Oryctolagus cuniculus: one gene and its partner. The main gene of each other region encodes a partner of the protein of the gene in region 2 in a complex. Links are inferred from orthologs where the notes say so. Each region holds a gene or a part of one and is shown on either strand. Other genes may lie near its edges. The genes, in order: EME2 and MUS81.

Region 1 (4,490 bases), on a different chromosome or scaffold from region 2:
CTAGGGGAGCAGGCCCGAGCATGAGCGGCTGCGCTCCGTGACCTGGTCCCCGCGCCTGGACCGGGAGGCGTACCTGCTGCAGGAGTCGTGGAGAGGGGAAGGCGGTGACGATGGAGCCGGCCACGGCGGGGCTGACCCGGTTAAACTGCATGATCTGCCGCTGCCAGGCCTCCCGAAGCCCACGGCCATCCCTGGTTACCCGCACACCTGCGGCCCAGCGCCCTGCCGTGCAGAAGGAAAAGGCCTGGGACTCCCGGTGCTGCCTGCGGAGGGAACGGGAGGCCTTCCCCACCTCGCCAGCGGCAGCTGCCCTGCAGCGCCCTCCGGCCGGGGGGGGGGGGGGGGTGCGCACTTGAACGGGCGCTGGGCCAGCGCTCTGGTGAGGGCGCACACGTGCTGACTCAGCTCCTGCCACGAGGCCACCAGCAGCACGTCCATGTCCGCCCAGAGCTGGAGGAGGACCAGGGCCTGGGAGGATGGAGCACAGCGTGTGTGGACCACGGGCCTTCCACAGGGGCCTGGCTGGCCTCCGAGGGCGGCCACCTCACCTCCTGCACCTCAGGCCTGCCGACGGGCACTCCACCGCGGGCCTCTGGACTCCTGGGTGACTGTGTCCCCCGTGCACTGGGCTGGCTGGACCTGGGCAGGGGTAACTCCCTCGGTCCCCCAGAGCGAAGCCCTCGCTCAAGGGGAGCTCACTGGCTCTCCTGCAGGGGGCCCCACCAGCACCCCGACCTCGCCATCCCACCCCCAACCCTAAGAGCGGGGGTGAGCAGTACCACAGGTAGGCGTCCAGTCCCACGACGGCCAGGTGGGGGCGGGAGGGGCTCTCGGGGGAGACCCAGGGCACTGAGCAGATGGGGCCGGAGGCCTGAAGGGGAGAAACTGCACCCCGTTTGCCGGCAGGTCAAGGGCCGGGGTGCACGCAAGGGCAAGCTTTTGAGAACAGTGGCTCTGCTTTCCTGGAGACAGTGCCCAGGGTGTGCCCCCGACCCCGCCAGAACTGACCGGCTCCCCCAAGTCCCTGGTGCACTCCTCCAAGCTCAGGCCCCAGGGCCCTCCTGCCCTGCGAGCCACACCGGACTCTGCCGCACCCAGACCCTGTCCAGCTCCGTCCCGCTGCACCTGAGCCAGCCGGGCCGCGCCCTGCAGAAACTCCTCGGGCTCCAGCAGCAGCAGCGACAGCAGCTCCGGCTCCTCTCGCTCCTCAGGAGGGGCCTGCGGGGACAGCGGGACGCGCCGCCGCTCTCGCCCGGCCCAGGGTCCGCCGCCGGGAGAGGGCAGCCCGGGTCTTCGGGCAGCGGCGGGGCGCGAGCTCCCCCCCAGCACCACCACTCCTCGGGACACGCAGTCCGCCGTGGGCACTCACGCTGCGGGGGCAGGGGTCGGGGGTCCCCCAGCTCCAACACAGGCTCCGCGGACGGCGCTGGGGCTCGATGCGGCACTGACAGCCCAGGGCGCCGAGCGCCTGCAGCAGGACGTCCGCGCCAGCGTCCTCCAGGATGGCTGGGGCCGCGAGGGGCACGACTCAGCCGCTCTGCGTTCCCGAGGCTCCTGCCTCCCCCACCCAGGACCACCGCCCGCGGCGCAGAGCCCCGCCAAGCCCGGGCCGCGCCCCTCGCCCCGCACCTGGGTCTACGCCCACCGCGAGGCGCTTCAGGGCCCGCTCCGGCCGCAGCGCCTCGGCCGCCGGCCCCTGGGTCCCCGCGCCGGCCGCCGCCCCGGAGGGGCCCTCGGCGTCCGAGTCCGAGATCTCCCAGGTCGGCGGCCTGCGGCGCGCGCCCAGCGCGCGCCCGCACCCCGCTCTCGCCATGGGCGGCCCGGCCTCTCCTCCGCTTCCGGCGCGCGCGCCCGCTCGCTTCCGGCGCGCCCTCGCTCCGCGCAGCCGCGGCAGCTTCCGGCCGGGTGCCCGGGGCCGCGCGGCGGGACCATGGCGCGCAAGAAGGTTCGGCCGCGGCTGATCGCGGAGCTGGCCCGCCGCGTGCGCGCCCTGCGGGAGCAGCGAGAGCAGCCGCGGGACTCGCAGCGCTACGCCCTGGACTACGAGACCCTGACGCGGCCGCACTCGGGCCGCCGCCTGCCCGTGCGCGCCTGGGCCGACGCGCGCCGCGAGAGCCGCCTGCTGCAGCTGCTCGGCTGCCTGCCGCGCTTCGGCCTGGGCCGCTTGGTCACGCGCAAGTCCTGGCTGTGGCAGCACGACGAGCCGTGCTACTGGAGGCTCACGCGCGTGCGGCCCGACTACACGGCGCAGGTGCGTGCCCCCGCCGGCGCCGCGGGGCTCGGGGCGCAGGCGCGGCCCAGCTGACCCGAGCCGCTTGCTTTGCAGAACTTGGACCACGGCAAGGCCTGGGGCGTCCTGACCTTCAAGGGTAAGGCCGGCCGCGCGGCGGGGGACGCGGACAGGGGCGCGGGGAGCCGAGGAGCGGGCGCTGAGCCCCGCCTTTGCCTCCGCAGGGAAGACGGAAGGCGAGGAGCGCGAGATTCCCCAGGTCATGTACCACGACTGGCGGCTGGTGCCCAAGCACGAAGAGGCGGCCTTCGCGGCGAACGTGCCGGGGCCCGCGGACGCCCCACGGTCTGTGCCCTACCCGCCGCTCCTGCGGGCCATGATTCTGGCCCAGCGGCGCAAGAGCGGGGACCCCAGCCTCGAGGAGCCAGTGCTGAACTTGGAGAGGGTCCGTGTGGACCCCTGGGACTACCCTGCCAGGCTGAAGGCGAAGGGACAGCCCAAGGGCACCCCTGTCTGAATTCCCGGAACCTGCGGGTCTCGGAACACGGTCTGCGTGTGAGGGCAGGGCCAGGACTCGCACTGCCCGCAGGCTTCCTCCGCCCGCCCCCGCCCTTATTGTGGCCAGAAATAAAGGCCAGCCGCATCTCCTGGGTGTGGTTTCTTTGCGTCTAAGGCTGCGGGAGGGAAGGGCCACGGGAGGCGTGTCGCCAGCCCCGTCCGTGGGTTCCCGGGGTACGCGCAGCAGCCCCAAGTCCGGAGCGGAACCTGCGCGCAGCCGGGGTCCCTTTAAGCGCAGGCCCCGCCCCGGGCGCCGCAGGCTCCGCGCCTCCCGCCCCGCAGGCTTCGCGCCGCCGCCGCCGCCATCATGATCTGCGTGGTGCTGGCCCTCTTCGCGCACCTCTTCCCGGCAGGTGAGTGGCTGGGCGCGCGGGGCGGCCTGGGCAGCTCCGGGCCGGCCTGACGCCCGGCTCTGCAGCAGGCACCGGCGCGCACGAGCGCACCTTCCTGGCCGTGAAGCCGGACGGCGTGCAGCGGCGGCTGGTGGGCGAGGTGGTGCGGCGGTTCGAGAGGAAGGGCTTCAAGCTGGTGGCGCTGAAGCTGGTGCAGGTGGGGCGGGCGCGCGTGCGGGGCCGGGGGGGCGCGGGGCGGCGCTGGCCCGGGCCCCGGCGCAGGCGCAGGCGGTCCGCACTCCTCCGCAGGCGTCCGAGGAGCTGCTGCGCCAGCACTATGCCGAGCTGCGCGGGCGCCCCTTCTTCAGCCGCCTGGTCAAGTACATGAGCTCGGGACCCGTGGTGGCCATGGTAAGTACCCCGCCGGGCAGGCGGACGCGGGAGCCCGCGGCGCGGTGACCAGCCGGCCGCTCCGCCTGCGCAGGTGTGGCAGGGGCTGGACGTGGTGCGCGTCTCTCGGGCACTCATTGGGGCCACGGACCCGGCAGACGCCCTGCCCGGCACCATCCGCGGCGACTTTTGCATCGAAGTCGGCAAGTAAGGCCCGCCCGGGGTCGGTGCTGCCCGAGCCCTCCTCCCCGCATCGCCCCTGCCCGCGCTCAGCCGGCCTCTCCGCGCAGGAACGTGATCCACGGCAGCGACTCGGTGGAGAGCGCACGCCGCGAAATCGCACTGTGGTTCCGGGCGGACGAGCTCCTGTGCTGGGAGGACAGCGCCGGGCACTGGCTGTACGAGTAGCCGCCCCGCCCCGCCCCGCGGCCGCAGCTCCTCGTCCCAGCCTGGCGTGGCGGGTTGGTTGGTTGGTTGGTTTTGCAATAAACTGAAGGCGACTGTGCACACTGATTCGGACCGGGACGACGCGGAAACGTTGCTTTATTACACAGAGCAGATACGGGGTTCACTTGCAGGGCCAAAGCCGCGGGAGGGTGGTCTGGCGGCCCCTCCCCCGAGCTGCCCCGCCCACTGACCCCAAGTCACGGCTGGGTCCCGTGGGGACAGACAGGGACTTGACGGACATCACAGTGGAGAGGTGGCTGGGCCGCGGGGAGAAGCCTGCTGGGGGACGTGGCTGCGGCCGAGGCCAGCTGGGCTGGTGGGCAGCTGCCCGAGGTGTGTGCTTCTCTGGTGGGGGGCGGCCCCGATCAGTGCCTCAGAGCAGGGTAAGGTCTGGGCCCCCGGGGCAGCAAGGCCTGGCCATGCAGGGGCAGTCCTGGGCCGATGCCCACCCCTCCCCCCACTCGCATGCGCAGTCTGGCGGCCTGGGCCGTGGCCTCCCGTCCTCTCCCCCTGCGCAGCCGCAGCGGGCAGCG
Region 2 (4,362 bases):
GCTTGCGCACCGTGTGGCTCACACGCAGCCGCTGGAGTTCTCGGAGTAGCTCGGGCCTGTGCCCCGCCCTGGTGGTGCAGAGGAGGCCAAGGTCAGGGCAGGCCAGCATCCCCTCCCCCCGCCGGCTCCCAGGCTGCCCCGCCTCACTCACCCCCTGGTCTCACCAACGTCCACACACAACAGCACCCTGTACTCCCCGGGCCCCAGCTCCAGCGCTGCCTGCTGGACACCCCCCGCGCTGGCGCCACTACGGGGGAGGGGGAGGGGGAGAGAGGTGGTGTTGGAGGCCAGAGCCCCCAGCGCCCCGGCTCAGCTGCAGGCGACAGAGCAGGGCGGGGCGGCGGCTTCATTTCCAGGCCCCCTCCTCCCCTGCCCCTGCTCACAGCTCAGCCGGGGCCGCCCCTGGCACTGCCGGCTCCTCCCCGGGAGGCTGCTCGGGCCCCACGCCCGCGTCCACCGAGCGCGGTCCCGATTCAGCCAGCTTCTGGGCCAGCTCCAGGCCCTCCGCGGTGAGCGAGTACCTGGGAGGGGACACAACACAGCTCTGCCTTCTTCCCTGGCCCCTGGCAGGCTCTCGCCTGCCCCACGCTGGGCTGCGCCGGGCTGGCCTCCCGCAAACAAGCCCAGCGGCTCCCTGTGCCCACCTTCCCGCTCCTGCCCCCGCCTTCCCACCCCTGCCCGGTGCCACTTCCCAGGTCTGCGAAATGCACCCTCTGGCACGCACTCCTCCCTCATCTTCCCGCTCACCACTCTAAGGCCTTCGAACCGCTTCTCCCGCTGCCCTCACCCGCCCCTGCCTCCTTCACTCCCACACTCCCCAGCCGCCGCATCAGGTCTGGGAACTGCTGGGAGCCCACGGGAGTCCGCCACGCCCACCGCCCCCCCACGCCCACCGCCCCCCCACGCTCACTGTCCCCCCCACGCCCACTGCCACCCACGCACACTGCCCCCGCCACGCTCACTGCCCCCCCCCACGCCCACTGCCCTGCCCCGCTCACTGTCCCCCACCACGCTCACTGTCCCCACCACTCCCACTGCCCCGCCACGCCCACTGCCCCCCACCACGCTCACTGCCCGAGTCATGCACACTGTCCCCCCCACCCCTGCCACGCCCACTGCCCCGCCCCGCTCACTGTCCCCGGCCACGCTCACCACCCGGGTCATGCCCACTGCCCCTGCCACGCCCACCACCCACCACGAACACCGTCTCCCCCACGCCCACTGCCCCGCCCCGCTCACTGTCCCCGGCCACGCTCACTGCCCGGGTCATGCACACTGTCCCCCCCCGCCACGCCCACTGCCCCCCCACCATGCTCACTGCCCCCCACGCCCCCGCCCCGCCACGCCTCCCGTGTCCCGCACCTGGCTGGCTGGTGCGCCCTGAGCACCAGGTTCTTGTGGAGCAGGGAGCGGAGCGCTGGCCAGGACCGCGAGCTCCCGGGAGTGACCTGTGCGGTGGGAGGGGACGCTCAGAGCGCCGCGGCGCTGCCACGCGGGTCAGGCCCCGCGCTCGCGCCCTGGGCTCACCCTGGCGGCCATCTGAGTGCACCGCTGCAGCAGCTCCTCCTTGGTCAGGAAGCCTCGGCCCTCGGGGTTCTACGGCCAGCAGACACGCGGGGGCAGGCTCAGCGCCGGCTGCTCCGCGCCCGCCCCCGTGCCCGTCCCCCTCCCGGGGGCCCGGCACGCACCAGGTGCTCCTGGTACAGCAGCAGCAGCACCGCCCGGGCCCCTGAGTGCCGAGCCGGCCAGTAGCCACCGGAGCCGCCGGCCTGGGGCTGCGCGGAGGCCTGAAAGGCAGAGGGGGACTGGGAAAGGGAGCCAGGCCCCCGGCCAAGCCACGGCTGCCCCACCTGTAAAACGGGCCGGGAGGGGGGTCGACCCCCTAGAAATCGGGGCAGAGGCGGGGGGGGGGCGGCAGGAGCAGTGGCAGGGGCTGGGAGTTACCTGCTGCCCCCCAGATCCCCCTCCCACTGAAGTCTGCCCGCGCAAGGACCCCACCGTGGCTTCCCTAAGTGGCTGAGCGTGGAGCTGTCGCCAGCTGTTCCCAACATCCCAACTTACAGCTTAAAGCACTAACAGGGTGTCATTCGCCCCAAGCCCGGCAGCCGTGGTGAGAGCCGGACTCAGGCCTGCTAACGCCCCAAGCCCCTAGTGCCCGGCTCCCCCTGCGCCCTCCCCCCCCCTTCTCACTGCCACGGGAGGGGCCTGGGCCTGGGCGGGCGGCCCTTCGCCGGGGGGACTCCTCGCTCCGGACGGTGAGCCCTGGCCATCGCCATCGCCATCGCCATCGCCGCCTGCGGGAGCGTAAGAGCGTCAGCCCCGCACCGCAGCTCTGAGGGTCCCGGGGTGCAGCCTGGAGACCCGCCAGCCCCGGGGCGAGCGGAAGCCCGAGCCCGCAGCCAGGCCATCGCGGCGGGCGCTCACCGCCGGACGCTCGGTGCTGGCGCAGCCGCTCCTCCAGCATCCTGCAGAGCCCGTCTCCGAAGTGCTGCAGGATCTTAGCTTCTTTCCCGCTGCGCAGGGGCAGTGGGTACCGCCGGAGGGAGCGCAGGGCCTGGCGGAGGCGGGCGGGAGGCCTCGGGTCAGGGCAGGTCGGTCCCGCCTGCCGGCTCGGCCCGCACCTGCCCCCGGCACCCACCTTCTGAAACACGAAGCGCGTGCGGCGCCCCCTGCTGGCCGCCTCGTCGCGCCACTCGGTGAGCCAGCGCACGAAGAGCGGGTTCGGGCACTCGGGCAGCGGGCGCTTCCGGCCCAGGCGGACCGGCGCCGCCATGAGCCCCGGCGCCCGCGGGGCCGGGCCGCCGCCAGGTCTGTGGCTGGATTCGAACACCTGGCCGGGGTAGGGACTGAGGGCGGGAACCTCTGCAGTCACGTGGCCCAGCCCGAGAGGCGCCTCCCGCCGCCCTCCCCGCCCCCGCGCGGCCCTCAGTGGCCGGAGCCCAGCGCAGCCGCGGCCACCTCTCGCCTCGGTGCCCCCGCCCGGCCGCGGCCGGCTTTTCGGGCGCGCCCCGCCCAGGCCCCTGAGCCTCGACCCGCCCCTTCCTCCCACGGCGGATTCGAGAGCGGGGGCCCCACGCGCCCTCGGAGGAGGGCGGACAGCGCCCCTAGCGGCGAGGAGGACCGCCAGGCCCTGCCTCACCCCGGCGGAGCGGGGCAGCAGAGAGGGGGCTCAGAGAGAGTCCATGAGACTGGGGGCGGGGGATAGCGGAGCGCAGGTGCATCTGTGGGTAGGGGGTCAGAGGAGCGCAGGTGCATCTGTGGGAGGGGGCTCGAGGAGACTCCAGGAGACTGGGGGCGGGGGACAGAGGAGCGCAGGTGCCTCTGTGGGAGGGGACTCGGGCAGAGTCCAGGAGACTGGCGGCGGGGGGTAGCGGAGCGCAGGTGCATCTGTGGGAGGGGGCTCGAGGAGACTCGAGGAGACTGGGGGCGGGGGACAGCGGAGCGCAGGTGCCTCTGTGGGAGGGGGCGTGAGGAGACTCCAAGAGACTGGGGGCGGGGGACAGCGGAGCGCAGGTGCCTCTGAGGTGCCTCTGTGGATAGGGGGCACGAGAAGAGTCCAGGAAGGGCGGGGGACAGCGGAGCGCAGGTGCCTCTGTGGGTACGGGCTCGGGGAGAGTCCAGGAGACTGGGGGCGCGGGACAGAGAAGCGCAGGTGCATCTGTGGATAGGGGCTCGAGGAGAGTCCAGGAGACTGGGGGCGGGGGATAGCGGAGCGCAGGTGCATCTGTGGGAGGGGGCGTGAGGAGACTCCAGGAGACTGGGGTCGGGGGACAGCGGAGCGCAGGTGCCTCTGTGGGTAGGGGCTCTGGGGTGTGCGGCGGCGGAAGCCCTAGCTGGGCGGACTGGGGTGAGAGCAGAGGCGCTGTGTGCGTCCCGGCAGGTGTGGCGGCCAGAGGGGCGCACGTGAGCCGCTCCGGGGCTGAGGCTCCCCGGCTCGGGGGCTCGGTGGAGGCGCGGGACCCCCTTCCCCCAGCGAGGTTTGGAGATGGAACTCGGTGGGCCCAGGTTGAGCGACACGTAAGCAGGTGCTTCGGCGCAGGGAGGGGGAGCGGGCCCTGCTGGCGTCCGCAGCAGTCCCAGGTCGAGAGCGGGCGAACCCCAAGCAGGGGCGTGCGGGGCCCGGGACCCCCCGAGAGGGCCGGAGGGGCGGGCGCCGGGGCCCAGCCCGCCTCCCTCCCAGCACGGCCTTATAAGGAGCCCGAAGCCGGCGCCGCGGCCGGCTCCGCCCCCGCCAGGCTCATGTCCTAATAAGGACATCTAGGGCATCCCGCGGCCGGGGGCGGCCGCGAGCGCGTCTCCAGGGCGACTGCGGCCCCCTCCCCCTCCCGGGAAGCTGCGGGGCGCCCGGGGGTGGCGGGGCGC

The links.
Region 1: the proteins of MUS81 (region 2) and EME2 are in contact, whole or in part, in a crystal structure (PDB 7F6L), measured with the Homo sapiens proteins. The link is inferred for Oryctolagus cuniculus from reciprocal best matches to the Homo sapiens genes MUS81 and EME2. Residues at the interface, in NP_079404.3 of Homo sapiens: His330, Glu351, Phe354, Lys357, Arg358, Arg363, Val365, Glu381, Leu385, Gln386, Thr389, Asn390, Gln392, Val393, Ile394, Phe398, Lys400, Arg401, Tyr411, Leu414, Leu415, Arg417, Gly418, Leu419, Arg421, Leu422, Pro447, Ile464, Lys467, Ala468; in NP_001244299.1 of Homo sapiens: Glu140, Arg177, His179, Glu220, Glu221, Val224, Leu225, Gln227, Leu228, Trp229, Asn231, Leu232, Asp233, Leu235, Arg245, His246, Ala249, Val250, Lys252, Ala253, Leu254, Gln256, Tyr257, Lys260, Gln261, Glu264, Gln266, Phe268, Phe270, Cys271.

Annotation. Positions count from the first base shown.
Region 1 is NC_091450.1:33,388,962-33,393,451, forward strand, and holds the start of EME2 (probable crossover junction endonuclease EME2), read right to left. Parts: upstream 2,909-4,490; 5' UTR 2,495-2,908; coding exon 1,630-2,494; intron 1,507-1,629; coding exon 1,370-1,506; intron 1,219-1,369; coding exon 1,126-1,218; coding exon of another isoform or gene 872-1,125; coding exon 780-871; intron 640-779; coding exon 549-639; intron 469-548; coding exon 353-468; intron 264-352; coding exon 74-263; intron 1-73. Other genes in the region: NME3 (nucleoside diphosphate kinase 3), read left to right, coding at 3,096-3,141, 3,207-3,337, 3,430-3,531, 3,605-3,717, 3,801-3,918. UniProt on the Homo sapiens protein: Non-catalytic subunit of the structure-specific, heterodimeric DNA endonuclease MUS81-EME2 which is involved in the maintenance of genome stability. In the complex, EME2 is required for DNA cleavage, participating in DNA recognition and bending.
Region 2 is NC_091432.1:5,906,510-5,910,871, forward strand, and holds the start of MUS81 (crossover junction endonuclease MUS81), read right to left. Parts: upstream 2,911-4,362; 5' UTR 2,774-2,910; coding exon 2,639-2,773; intron 2,555-2,638; coding exon 2,425-2,554; intron 2,295-2,424; coding exon 2,191-2,294; intron 1,851-2,190; coding exon 1,689-1,850; intron 1,597-1,688; coding exon 1,528-1,596; intron 1,449-1,527; coding exon 1,363-1,448; intron 522-1,362; coding exon 384-521; intron 248-383; coding exon 152-247; intron 69-151; coding exon 1-68. UniProt on the Homo sapiens protein: Catalytic subunit of two functionally distinct, structure-specific, heterodimeric DNA endonucleases MUS81-EME1 and MUS81-EME2 that are involved in the maintenance of genome stability.